3 linked regions of the Danio rerio genome follow. The protein of the gene in region 2 interacts with the protein of the main gene of each other region in a biochemical or structural test. Links are inferred from orthologs where the notes say so. Each region holds a gene or a part of one and is shown on either strand. Other genes may lie near its edges.

Region 1 (3,618 bases), on a different chromosome or scaffold from region 2:
AGACAGTTCTCATAATGGGATGAACATGGTCAGCAACAATACTCAGGTAGGCTGTGCTCTTCTGCTGCTGTAGCCCATCCGCCTCAAGGTTGGACGTGTTGTGTGTTCAGAGATGCTCTTCTGCAGAGCTGGGTTGTGACGAGTATGACGATTTGCTATCACAGAACTGCCGCTCACTGGATATTTCCTTCATTCTCTGTAAAGCCTAGAGATGGTTGTGCGTGAAAATCCCAGCAGATTAGCAGTTTCTGAAATACTCAGAGCAGCCCGACTCAGACCAACAACCATGCCACGTTCAAAGTCACTTAAATCCCCTTTCTTCCCCATTCTGATGCTCTGTTTGAACTGCAGCAGATCGTCTCAATCATGTTTACATGCCTAAATGCATTGAGCTGCTGACATGTGAAATTTGCATTAACAAGCCGTTGGACAGGTGTACCTAATAAAGTGGCCATTACATGATCAGGACGTTTGTTACAATGAATGAAAAAAATACTATTATCATACAAAATGGCAGCTTTATTAAAAACATACGTGGCATGCAGCATTCGATTATAAATCATAATAATAATTACATTCCCACAAATCACAAAAATGTAACAGTGAAGGGTCATTTCAGTAACCAAAATAATCATAATCATAGCTTTTAATCTATGGCTTATGCTCCAGTTATAATGTTTGTGCTCAACTTCATGAAGTTAATTAATAATAAAAAAAATAATAATAAAAAAAAGGCTCGCTGCGGACATCATAAATAACATGATTATAATAAATCATAAATTGTGTAGTGTGGTTTATTAGCTTAACGTAAATCGCTCCAGTCTCAGCAATAGATTGTCTCCACAAACCATATAATGTCATCATGTGATATATTACATTGCCTTCATTCACAATCTCACAACCAGCATTAATGCTTTCATTATTAATGTATCATCCATTAATGGGGGAAAGAATGATGACTGCTGTAATGCATTATCACAGATGCATTGTATATGGCCGCCTCCTCTTCACATGGCTTTAAACCAATAATAAATAAATACTACAAAATAATAAGGCTAACATAATCAAGTGCTGTTTTGGTTCCGTCCTCATATGAGCTTCCATACAATCCGAATCACAGCTACATCTGAGATACGAGCTACATTTATGATATATTCACCACAATGAAAATTTCCCTTGGCTATTTAAAGAAGCTGAAATGGATTTCGGGTCCCTTTTCGTGACTAGTAAAGCTGTGGTCGCATTAAAAGCTGCTCGGAGACATTTTAAACACTCTTAAAGGGACAGTTCACCCGAAAATGAAATGTACTCGCTACTCTGTAAACAAAACTACCATACATTCAAGTTGTTCAGACACAAATCGATTAACTTAGTGTGTTGAACATAAAACGCAAGTAAAAAAGCAAGTTTTCCCGAGAATTTCAGTTGTTTCAGCACATTTTTTATGAGTTAGTAATTGTATTAGTCTAGTTACTCTCCCTCAAGTGGTTCCAAACCTGTTAAGAGTTTCTGTTTTCTGTTGAACCCGAAAGGAGATTTTGAAAAATGCTGTAACTATTGACTTCCATAGTATGAAAAACAACATAGAAGATATTTGGAAGAATGCTGAAAACCTGTAACCATTGACTTCTCTTATTCAACTAAAGAAAGTCAGTTTAACAGGTTTGTGACTAATAATTAATGCCGTAGTTTTCATTTTTGAGTGAACCATCCCCTTTTTAAAGCATTTCCACGCTCAGCTACACGCTGGACTTGGGGTTTTTTGTGCACAAATTCACCTGATGCTGTTTAGTTTGACAGGGAGTTGTCGATGGCGGATTTATTCTGATGTTTTTGTGTGGAGATGGTGTTTAATTAAGCAGCGTTTCTCTCATTCTGCGGGTGGTTTTGTCTCGGAGCTCACAGTGTCGCATCAGATCTCGAGCCTCCAGTGGAAGAGAACTGCTCCAGAGCGTCAGCACAGAGTCCTCCGCTGAAAACACACACACAGGTCATCAATGACTTTCCTTGTGCTTTTGACACTACATTCACTATCAGAAGTATTGGCCACCTTGGCATATATGAGCTGAAGAATTCACAGACATTACCTTTCATTGTAATTAAAAATAACGAGGAAAATGTAAAAAAAATAATATTAATAAATATAGCTGCAAGCAGCAATTAAGGGGGCCCCAAGCACTTTTGGCCAAAAAGTGGCGCTGCTTCAGAAGTTTGAGAGTACTTTCAGGGCATGGGGTTGAAGATGTGTACCATGTTTTGTGATGATATGTGAAGTTGTTGTTAAAATATAGCATTTTTGGTCAAAAATCGAAATGGTCGACGCCCAAAATGGCTGACCTGTGAAAATCAGACATCATTCGACTCGACATGCTCTGCCGGATGTAATGAGACCAGTTTTAAGAGTTTCGGACGAAAGGTTGAGAAGTTATAAACCAAAAAAGCAAGTTTGTATCTCCGGACCACTAGGGGGCAGTGCATCAAAACTCCGCATAACCTCAGACCCTAGTTGTCATAACACACACCAAGTTTGGTGTGAATCGGTGCATGCGTTACAGAGATATCGACTCAAGTCCATTTTCGCAAGTTCTACGTTAAATTTGATCGCAAGTTAAACGAAAACGCTTGATCTAATCAACTTGAAATTTTGATTGTAGCCCATTCGGTTCAAAAGTTATGATAAACATACGTGAATGTTTGGACAAGTGGTGGCACTAGAGTTTGATTTTGAGACTTCATATTTGGTCTGATTAATGTTTAGACTGTCCTCTATGATTGTGCCAAATTATACAACTTTCCCGCATACGCCTATATGGGCTGCCATTCAAATCCGGCGAAAGAAACAGAAGATGAAGAATGCTAACGAAAGCAATAGGTGCCTATGCACCTACGGTGCTTGGCCCCTAATAATATAAATTCCCCAAATACAAAGTGGTCAAAACTATTAGCACCCCTAAACATTCTTAAAGGGCTAGTCTGTCATTACTCATAACTTGAGTATAACATTCTGACTTCTATTAATTAAATCAAAGGCATGGTTCACCCAAAAATGACCATTCTGTAAGTGAAGGCATAGTTAATACAGAATAGTTCATTGAAATCTCTTTGAATATATATTCATTCAAAGATACACTGCATCATGTAACGTTGTAACAACTACTTTTTTTTGAAGCTACATTAAAGAAATTGAGAGACCACAAAACAACTTTCAGAGATTCATGTGTATTTAGAAATGTATATGACAGCAGGTATGAATAATTATTGTTACACACTGGGGATATGAAATGATCAGCAGTCAACTCATTAATGATCACTATTAGACAGAAATAAGCATTCGATAAGTGTCTCTCATTGAATCCAGTATTTATAGCAATCCAAAAAAGATACCAACAGTCCTTAAGTGAATCACATGAAAGATCAAGTTCAGCAAACAGTTCATCAATGGCTGGCCACGGAATCAGTAGAAAAGTGGATGGAAAAAGTCTGTGGATATGAGGATGGATTGTCCAGGTCCTGTTTTGATGACTTAAAGTGGATACCAAAAAACCCTCTGCATATAAACAAACATACAATCAAAACCTTACCAACACCACACAAAACATATGTACAAAACCGAAATAT
Region 2 (4,030 bases):
TTTTTTTCTCCTTTAATTGAATGGGTAGAGAGTATAGACAGGAAAGTGTTAGGGGGAAGGATCGGCATAGGACCTCAAGGCGGGAATCATGGGGTGCCATGTGTTGACGCACTACCCACTACACCATTAGCGCCGACTGAACTAGCATTATTGAATTTGACAAGCAAAATATATTTTTTGATGATTTAGGATTAAGCCTATTAGAAAACAGCTTTTAGTAAAATTAAAATTTACAAACTTTTTTATATAGCGCACATTGTTTTCTTTTAATTGAACAATTAATCCATGCTGAAGTTTGTTTTAGTAATCTTTAATTAACGTTTGACCATTTGCTTCTGTTTTTGGAGTGGCGGTCCTTCTCTGTTGACATCAGTTTGATGCTTCAGCCACAATATTCTTAACCACGCAAATGAGCGCAAATCTATTATTTATTATACACATCAATTAATTTCCAACAACAAATTGACACTAAGTTACATTTTAGACACAATATTGTCTGTTTTTTTCTGTTTCGCTAATAAAAAATAGAAAGCCAAAGCAGAACATTTGCGCATCTCACAAGTAGCACTGCAGAGTTGAGTTCCAGAAGGAAACCATTTTTGAGCCAATGATAGAATCCATTTATAAAGATGGTCCCCTATTTCTTTTCTAAATGAATCAGCCATTTTGAATGAAACATTTGAATGAACGAGTAAGTGAATCACTCATTAGGAAAGGGACTTGGTGCCACACCTACTGGCAGTTATAGTGTCATATTTATTCATCAGTAACAGAACTAAACCTGCACAAACATACACTTAGCAACATACTGTATAGTTTAACTTTAGTTACTGAAAATTACCCCAAAATATTGAGATATTTTTTTTTCAATACAGACAATGCATACTGCCAAGACATTTAAAAGATGACAGTTAAACATAAGACAAGTACAAACAAGTACATGGCCAGTCTCAAAGTTACACTGTAATTATTGACTATATAGTATGTTATGCATTAACCCTCCACAAATGTTTGTTTTGGTGTGAATTTCAGTGTTTTGGTGATTATCTTCAGAATTATCTATTTTTTCTTTTAATCCGGCGACAGGGTGGATTTGGATTTGTTATGAAAACAAACAGAATTAGCAAGTACCCGCCAAAATAAAAACAGAGGCTGAGAAACTGTACCAAGGTTCAGACGCAGAACTCCCAGGATCCCATAGGCATCCAGCATCTTGGTGTACGATGCTTTTATGGTCTCTTTCTCTGCCGCCGCTGTGGATGACATCAAAATATTTACTTAAAATCTACATGCCATAATACTACATACTATTAAGATGAAATAAATACTTAAATGTGTCATTTTGTTTTGATTCTTACACCTAAGAAAGACAGAGAATCAATGCTAACTAAACATTTAATAGTTTAATTCAGTAACTCAGGGTGTGGACAGTCTTACACAGTACAGCAACAGCTCCAGACTCGAACATCAGACATTCTTCTCGATTTCTGGTCTCCACAATCACACTGTATGGAGGTGGATCCAGCTTGTGATAAATACGATAACCTTTACTGAATGCCATGGCTCGACACAACCTATTTCAGACCTGAATGCAAAAATAAATCATTTAAATGGAAACACACCATATAAAGCAAATGACACAGGGGTTGTGGAGACAATATTCCAACCCTTAAACCACCGGCAATTTCAGATATGACTGAGGTAAAGTTGGTCTTATATTCGCACATTCAGAGTTACTGCTTTAAAATATAATTTCAGAAAATAAGTCTTAGCAAATTCAAAATAGTGATATTATATAAGAGATATAACAGCAAGTGCCTATCAAGGTACAACATTGTTCACATAAATAGTGCTAAAGTTGTTTTGAAGTCATATTACATGCGATATCATACCGAATTTTTAAAGTAACATGGTATACAATATAGAGACCCTGTCATAAGATATCGCTGTTCAAAAATGAACAATGTGCGATTATAAAACTAATTGTACCCCAATCTAGATATGCAGGTGCAGCAAATGTCGCATCGTGCAACCATAAAAACACACAATTTAAAGTGGTTATTAGTACACCCTGTCACACCATTGACATTAGAGAGGAAGGAAATAAAGTGGGAAGCTTACACAATTCCTGCTGTTATAAATTCGTGTTTTTGCTCTAATGGTCATGCAGGATAAAGGAAACACAATGCTGTCGAAAAAACATCAGCTGTGCTGTTATTTCAGCATCACAACAGTGAGGGATGAAAAATCAAGCCAAATCCCATCAAAGCCGAAGCAACGAGCTAAAATGTCCGACTTAACTGAAACGAAACATGCAGAAAAACAGGATGACAGGTGCTCATCACAATCAAAACTGCAACCGAAATCTATAAGGATGTTTAATGCATGCATATACACAGCCTGTCTAACCTTGGGCCACTGTCTCGGAGTGTGGCTGAAGGTTAGCGCACAAGAAAATAGCAATCATCCGTGTGATAACTAGAATGAAGAAGATCGGGCCCGACCGGCCCTTGATCTGTCAAAATCAACAGTTCAAACAGACTGACAGCCCCTAAAAGCCTTTATCACGACCAGCACTGACGGCTAACGTTAGCCGGCTAGCTCTCCATCGCCTTCCTGAACCATATAAACAGACATTTTACTGATCACAGAGCCGCTATGTGTTCATTAGAACAGGAAAAGTGGAGATTTAATGTGTCGGTGTGTGTTGTGGATTTATAATGATGCTTAGTAAAGAGATGGTCTTGTGTACCTGTCAGAGTTGTGCCTGTCTTGCCCCGGTTGGATATCGTATATGGCTAGAAACAAAATGATTAGCGGGGCAGGTAGTTCAAGAACAGAAATACAACAGAAACCTAGAGAGGAAGACAGCAGCACTGTGGTTACGCCCAGAAGCGTTTCCAGGACCTTAAGCTAACCGCTGATTGGCTAGGTGTGTGTCATGTGATGTAGAAAGCAAGCATTATTAAAGGGATAGTTCACCAAAAAAAGTAAAGAAATAAGAATAAATACTTATTTTTAAAATACAAAAATATTGCATCATATATATATATATATATATATATATATATATATATATATATATATATATATATATATATATATATATCATTAAAAAACAAATAGGAATATGTTAAAGTTTTAAATTGAAAATTGTAGTCTATTGTCAGTAAGAAGACAAATAAACTGCCCAGCACATTCAACTTTTCTCACTTGGCCTTTCCGATGGGTCATTTAATCCAGGGGTTCCCAAACTTTTCAGCCTGCAACCCCCAAAATGACATTGCCAGTGACTCGCGACCCCCAATATCCTCTTAGCTGGTTAGAAATACAAAAATCTTGAATGCAATGGCACACACACACACACACACACACACACACACACACACACACACACACACACACACACACACACAGGCATATTCTTCATTAAATTTTTTAATGTATGTTCTATAAAATCAATCTGCTGCATCTGACACTATTGCTGTTTCTTTAATAATATGTAATTACCAAAGGGGTCGTAATCCAGTAGAACTAGTATTTATAAGCTACTATAGCAACTATGTAGCATATAGTAACTATAAACAACTCTTTTTTTTTTCTCTTCAGTAGGTTATGGATAAAAATATGGTAAGCTCGGAGTAGAGCCACTGCTCCTCCACATCAAGGGATGTCAGGCATCTGTTTCAGATGCCTCCTGAACACCAACCCATGGAGGCCTGGGAACGCCTCGGGATCCTTTCTGAAAATCTTGAGGAAATGTCTGGGGAGAGGGAAGTCTGAGGTTATCTCCCACGACCCAGCCCCAGAAATGCAGACAAAAATGAGATGAGATGAGATTTTCTTTTGTGTTCTACAGAAGAGTAAATGGTGAGGACGTTTACATTTGTGGGTGAACTATTCACCCATGACAGTAAGATACAATAATACATTTTATTAAATAAAAATTATTTATATTATAATTATATTACTTTAATATTATTCTAATTTTATATTTTGTAATGCATGTGTCATTATTGTTTATTATGTT
Region 3 (3,500 bases), on a different chromosome or scaffold from region 2:
ATCCCTTTATAAATTGTTTACTAAAGATTAGAACTTTTAACTCTATGGTTTGTTTTAGGATCCAGACCTGTCCTCGATCTTGCTGGACAGCTGCTGAAGAATCTCTGCCGCCTGTCTATGGTAGTTGACTTGAGCTTGGACCAGAGCAGAAAGCTGACTCACTTGCTCAATCTGGTGAAACACAGTTAGAACATTAATAACTGTAACACATGAACACAAATAACGCCTCGATGATCACATATGAAGTTCAAGACTAGCAAACAATGGCTACATTTACATGCACCCTCACAATGTAATTACGACAGTACCATGAAGTACTGCAAGCGAGTTCATGTAAACAATACTGTGGTTATGATGAAGTTCATGTTTGGAGTTATCATAAGTCACAGTAAAATATGTAAAGCACTGCATTTTTCATCTGACTAAACGCTCATGCATGGGTCGAAAACATGCTGGATCAGAAGAAGCCACACTTCTTGGCATCATGCTCTTAGATGTTCAGAAATATACCACCTTGGCATTTCCGATCACCAATAAAACACATGATGCCCATGTTATGTAATGTTATATGCATAATCTCAGATTTCTGAGCTTCCCAGAAGTGTGGCTTCTAGGAAAAGAGGGAGACCGTGTACCCTAGGACTGGCCAACAGGTCCATGTACGCCAGGAGCACTTGGAGCCTATTTTAAAGCAAAAACATCATAACTCTTAACAAATGATCCTAATAATAGCAGGAATCATGTAAACGGCACTGAAAAGGTTTGCCCGTGTCATGTTAACATCTTAATCATTACTTTGAGTATTGGCAGCAATCACACTGCCAACCATGTAAACATAGCCATTGGATGAGATGCAGTGATTAATGGAAAAGGGGTGAAACCTGTGAGATAAGAGGAAAGAAAGACTCACTGGATACAGCATATAACACAAAAAGCACAGATAAAGTACAATCAGAGTCTACAGAAGCATGAAATGGATGGTGAGCAAGGGCAGGCACAGGACAGGTCACAGATCTTACATCGTTCTCCAGAAGATTAAACATGCTTTGTTCGGCAATCTCCTTGGAGTCGTCAAACTTCTCCAGGGCCTGTTTGATCTCATCCTCTGTGACTTTTCCTTGCCTTTTCTTCTTATAGTCAAAGTCCAATCGTCGCCCCTCCAGCTTCTTCAGGTGATGCTGTCATGAAACATGGAAAATGAAAATGTTGCTGTTCAGTTACTGACCTCTAGTGACATTCCGTCACACCAATGTTAATTCTAATGCAGTGCCTCCATTAAAGCGTTAGTTTAACAGAACTCACCCTCATGTTGTTCCAAACGGCCTGAGATATTTATTCATTTTCTGAATACAAATTAAGACACTTCAGGTGTAATCTGAGAGCTCCCTCATCCTTTATAGAAGTGGTCACCAAACTTGTTCCTGGAGGGCCGGTGTCCTGCAGATTTTAGCTCCCATTTTCAAGCTACAAGAATACTTTTGTGCGCACATAAAGAAAATTGACTTTAATCAACTGTTTCTTCTCCTCAGTGATGGTAAAGGTTGCACGATCACATACTGTGCTTGGTCGTGCCACTGATGTATTAACTCAGATGCTTTGTTTCAAAAAGCAGAAGCTGTAGACAGACACTGGGGGATTTGGGTGATATATGTGTACAATAAACAAACATTGATGATAAGGTTGAATAAATGTATTTTTTTTATGTTTATTCTTGTAGCTGAATTTCATTCATCGAAGTTACCTTTCTGGACAATTTAGGGACCTTGCTGTTGACAGAAGATGAGGGAGCTCCACCTAAAATCTCTTCATTTGGATTGACATGAGGGTGAGTAATTAGCATGATTTTTACTTTTGAATGAACAAACTCTTTAAATGGCTGGGACTGTGAACTTTCAAAATTGGGCTAAATAATCATGCCACTAATCTAAGATTCACAAGCAAATTTTAAATGTTTAAGTATAAATTATGCTTGTCCTACAATTCTGAATAGGCAAAGAAATTTGTTTTTATAAAAGTTATTTACTAGAGTCTCTGAATTGTTAATTACTGCAATTAATTAAAAAAAAAATTTAAATTAAAGATTTATTTTTGAATCCGAATGATGATTCATTTATAAAGTTCTTAATTCATTACGGAATAAATTAGACCTTGAACCAATATCATGAAATAATGATTCATGGTTGTTTATGGGGAATACTGTTCTTTTACTTTTACAAGCAGTAACATTGCCAAACTGAACCTCGTTCATGCAGATCCATGAACATGCATGCACACAAAAACTAGCACAAGAGTATACACTAAATGTAATATGGTTGTTTATGACATGCTAGTTTTTTTTGTGAAAAGTACACTTGTGTAGTTTAGCTGAGAGAAGGTACAATATTCAAAAATGTTCACTTTGAGACTCCTTTTCAAAAGTTGAATTACTTCATCTTGAGCTACTATAGAAATTAGAGTGTATATACGGAACAAATAACACAGAAATGATGGTATTATTGTGGTTGAAAGGCTAAAAATATAAAACCCAATACAGCCCTAATTAACCTTGGGATTAAATGGGTCTTTTTGCTGATGTGCATAATGGGATGAAGCACTTTGCTGGGTGTGACGTTCTGTATATTGTTTTCTCCCACACCCAGTCCAACAACTTCACAAAAACAATCCACATTTAAATGTGAAAACTGAAACAGAACATTGGCACTGGAGCTATTTATATGAGTTGTAATGGCAAGTCACTAAATGCCATGATTAATGCTAGGCTGTGACACTAATTGAATTAAAATGCAGCTCAGAACTATTTCAGAGCATTTAAATAGGTCTGGATTATGTGTTTCCAGAACAATATACTTTTTTACAATTTTTTTTTATTTGTATTTTTTCTATTTTGTAATTTCTATTCTACAATGAAATTCCACTATGCAAAAGAAAAGCAACTACAATTTTACCCCCAGAGGTCCCAAAACAAGATTTTTTTTTTAAATAAAAGAGTCTTACAGGATGACTGTATTTAATGACAAAACTATTGCTTTTAAAGAGTTTTCATGTCTCACCTGGATTTCCTTTAAGTCTTTATCATGAATATTCTGCAAGGGATCAATAAAGTTTTGTTTGACCTCCATGTCTAAAGCATCTTTTACTTCACCAAGCTCTCGCATGGCTTCTCCAACATCAATCAGAGCCACCCCTGTGAGACACAAGAGTACAATACATGTTTTACTTTCAGAGGCAAAACTGTTACACACAGATTTCTTAATACAAACATCAGGGTATTCATAAACGTAGGGTTTAAATAGGTAGCTAAAGAGCGTTTTAGGAAAAAGGCTGCAATTGAAATCACCTTGGTGTGTGTGTGTGTATAATATATATATATATATATATATATATATATATATATATATATATATATATATATATATATATATATATATATATATATATAAATATATATAATATTTCTTTTTTTTTACCTTTAATAACAATATAAAAAAGTGCTCTAATCA

The links.
Region 1: of the proteins of synj1 (region 2) and lrrk2, one has a biochemical effect on the other in vitro, tested with the Homo sapiens proteins (2 studies listed by BioGRID). The link is inferred for Danio rerio from reciprocal best matches to the Homo sapiens genes SYNJ1 and LRRK2.
Region 3: the proteins of synj1 (region 2) and sh3gl2a form a complex in vitro, tested with the Homo sapiens proteins (2 studies listed by BioGRID and IntAct, with this or other methods). The link is inferred for Danio rerio from reciprocal best matches to the Homo sapiens genes SYNJ1 and SH3GL2.

The regions. Positions count from the first base shown.
Region 1 is NC_133200.1:38,184,587-38,188,204, forward strand, and holds the end of lrrk2 (leucine-rich repeat serine/threonine-protein kinase 2), read right to left. Parts: exon of another isoform or gene 3,204-3,618; intron 1,973-3,203; coding exon 1,851-1,972; 3' UTR 501-1,850; downstream 1-500. UniProt on the Homo sapiens protein: Serine/threonine-protein kinase which phosphorylates a broad range of proteins involved in multiple processes such as neuronal plasticity, innate immunity, autophagy, and vesicle trafficking.
Region 2 is NC_133185.1:31,460,492-31,464,521, reverse strand, and holds the start of synj1 (synaptojanin-1), read right to left. Parts: upstream 2,801-4,030; 5' UTR 2,753-2,800; intron 1,586-2,752; 5' UTR 1,562-1,585; coding exon 1,438-1,561; intron 1,254-1,437; coding exon 1,167-1,253; intron 1-1,166. UniProt on the Homo sapiens protein: Phosphatase that acts on various phosphoinositides, including phosphatidylinositol 4-phosphate, phosphatidylinositol (4,5)-bisphosphate and phosphatidylinositol (3,4,5)-trisphosphate. Has a role in clathrin-mediated endocytosis.
Region 3 is NC_133176.1:28,387,946-28,391,445, forward strand, and holds part of sh3gl2a (SH3 domain containing GRB2 like 2a, endophilin A1), read right to left. Parts: intron 3,185-3,500; coding exon 3,051-3,184; intron 1,179-3,050; coding exon 1,020-1,178; intron 172-1,019; coding exon 68-171; intron 1-67. UniProt on the Homo sapiens protein: Implicated in synaptic vesicle endocytosis. May recruit other proteins to membranes with high curvature. Required for BDNF-dependent dendrite outgrowth.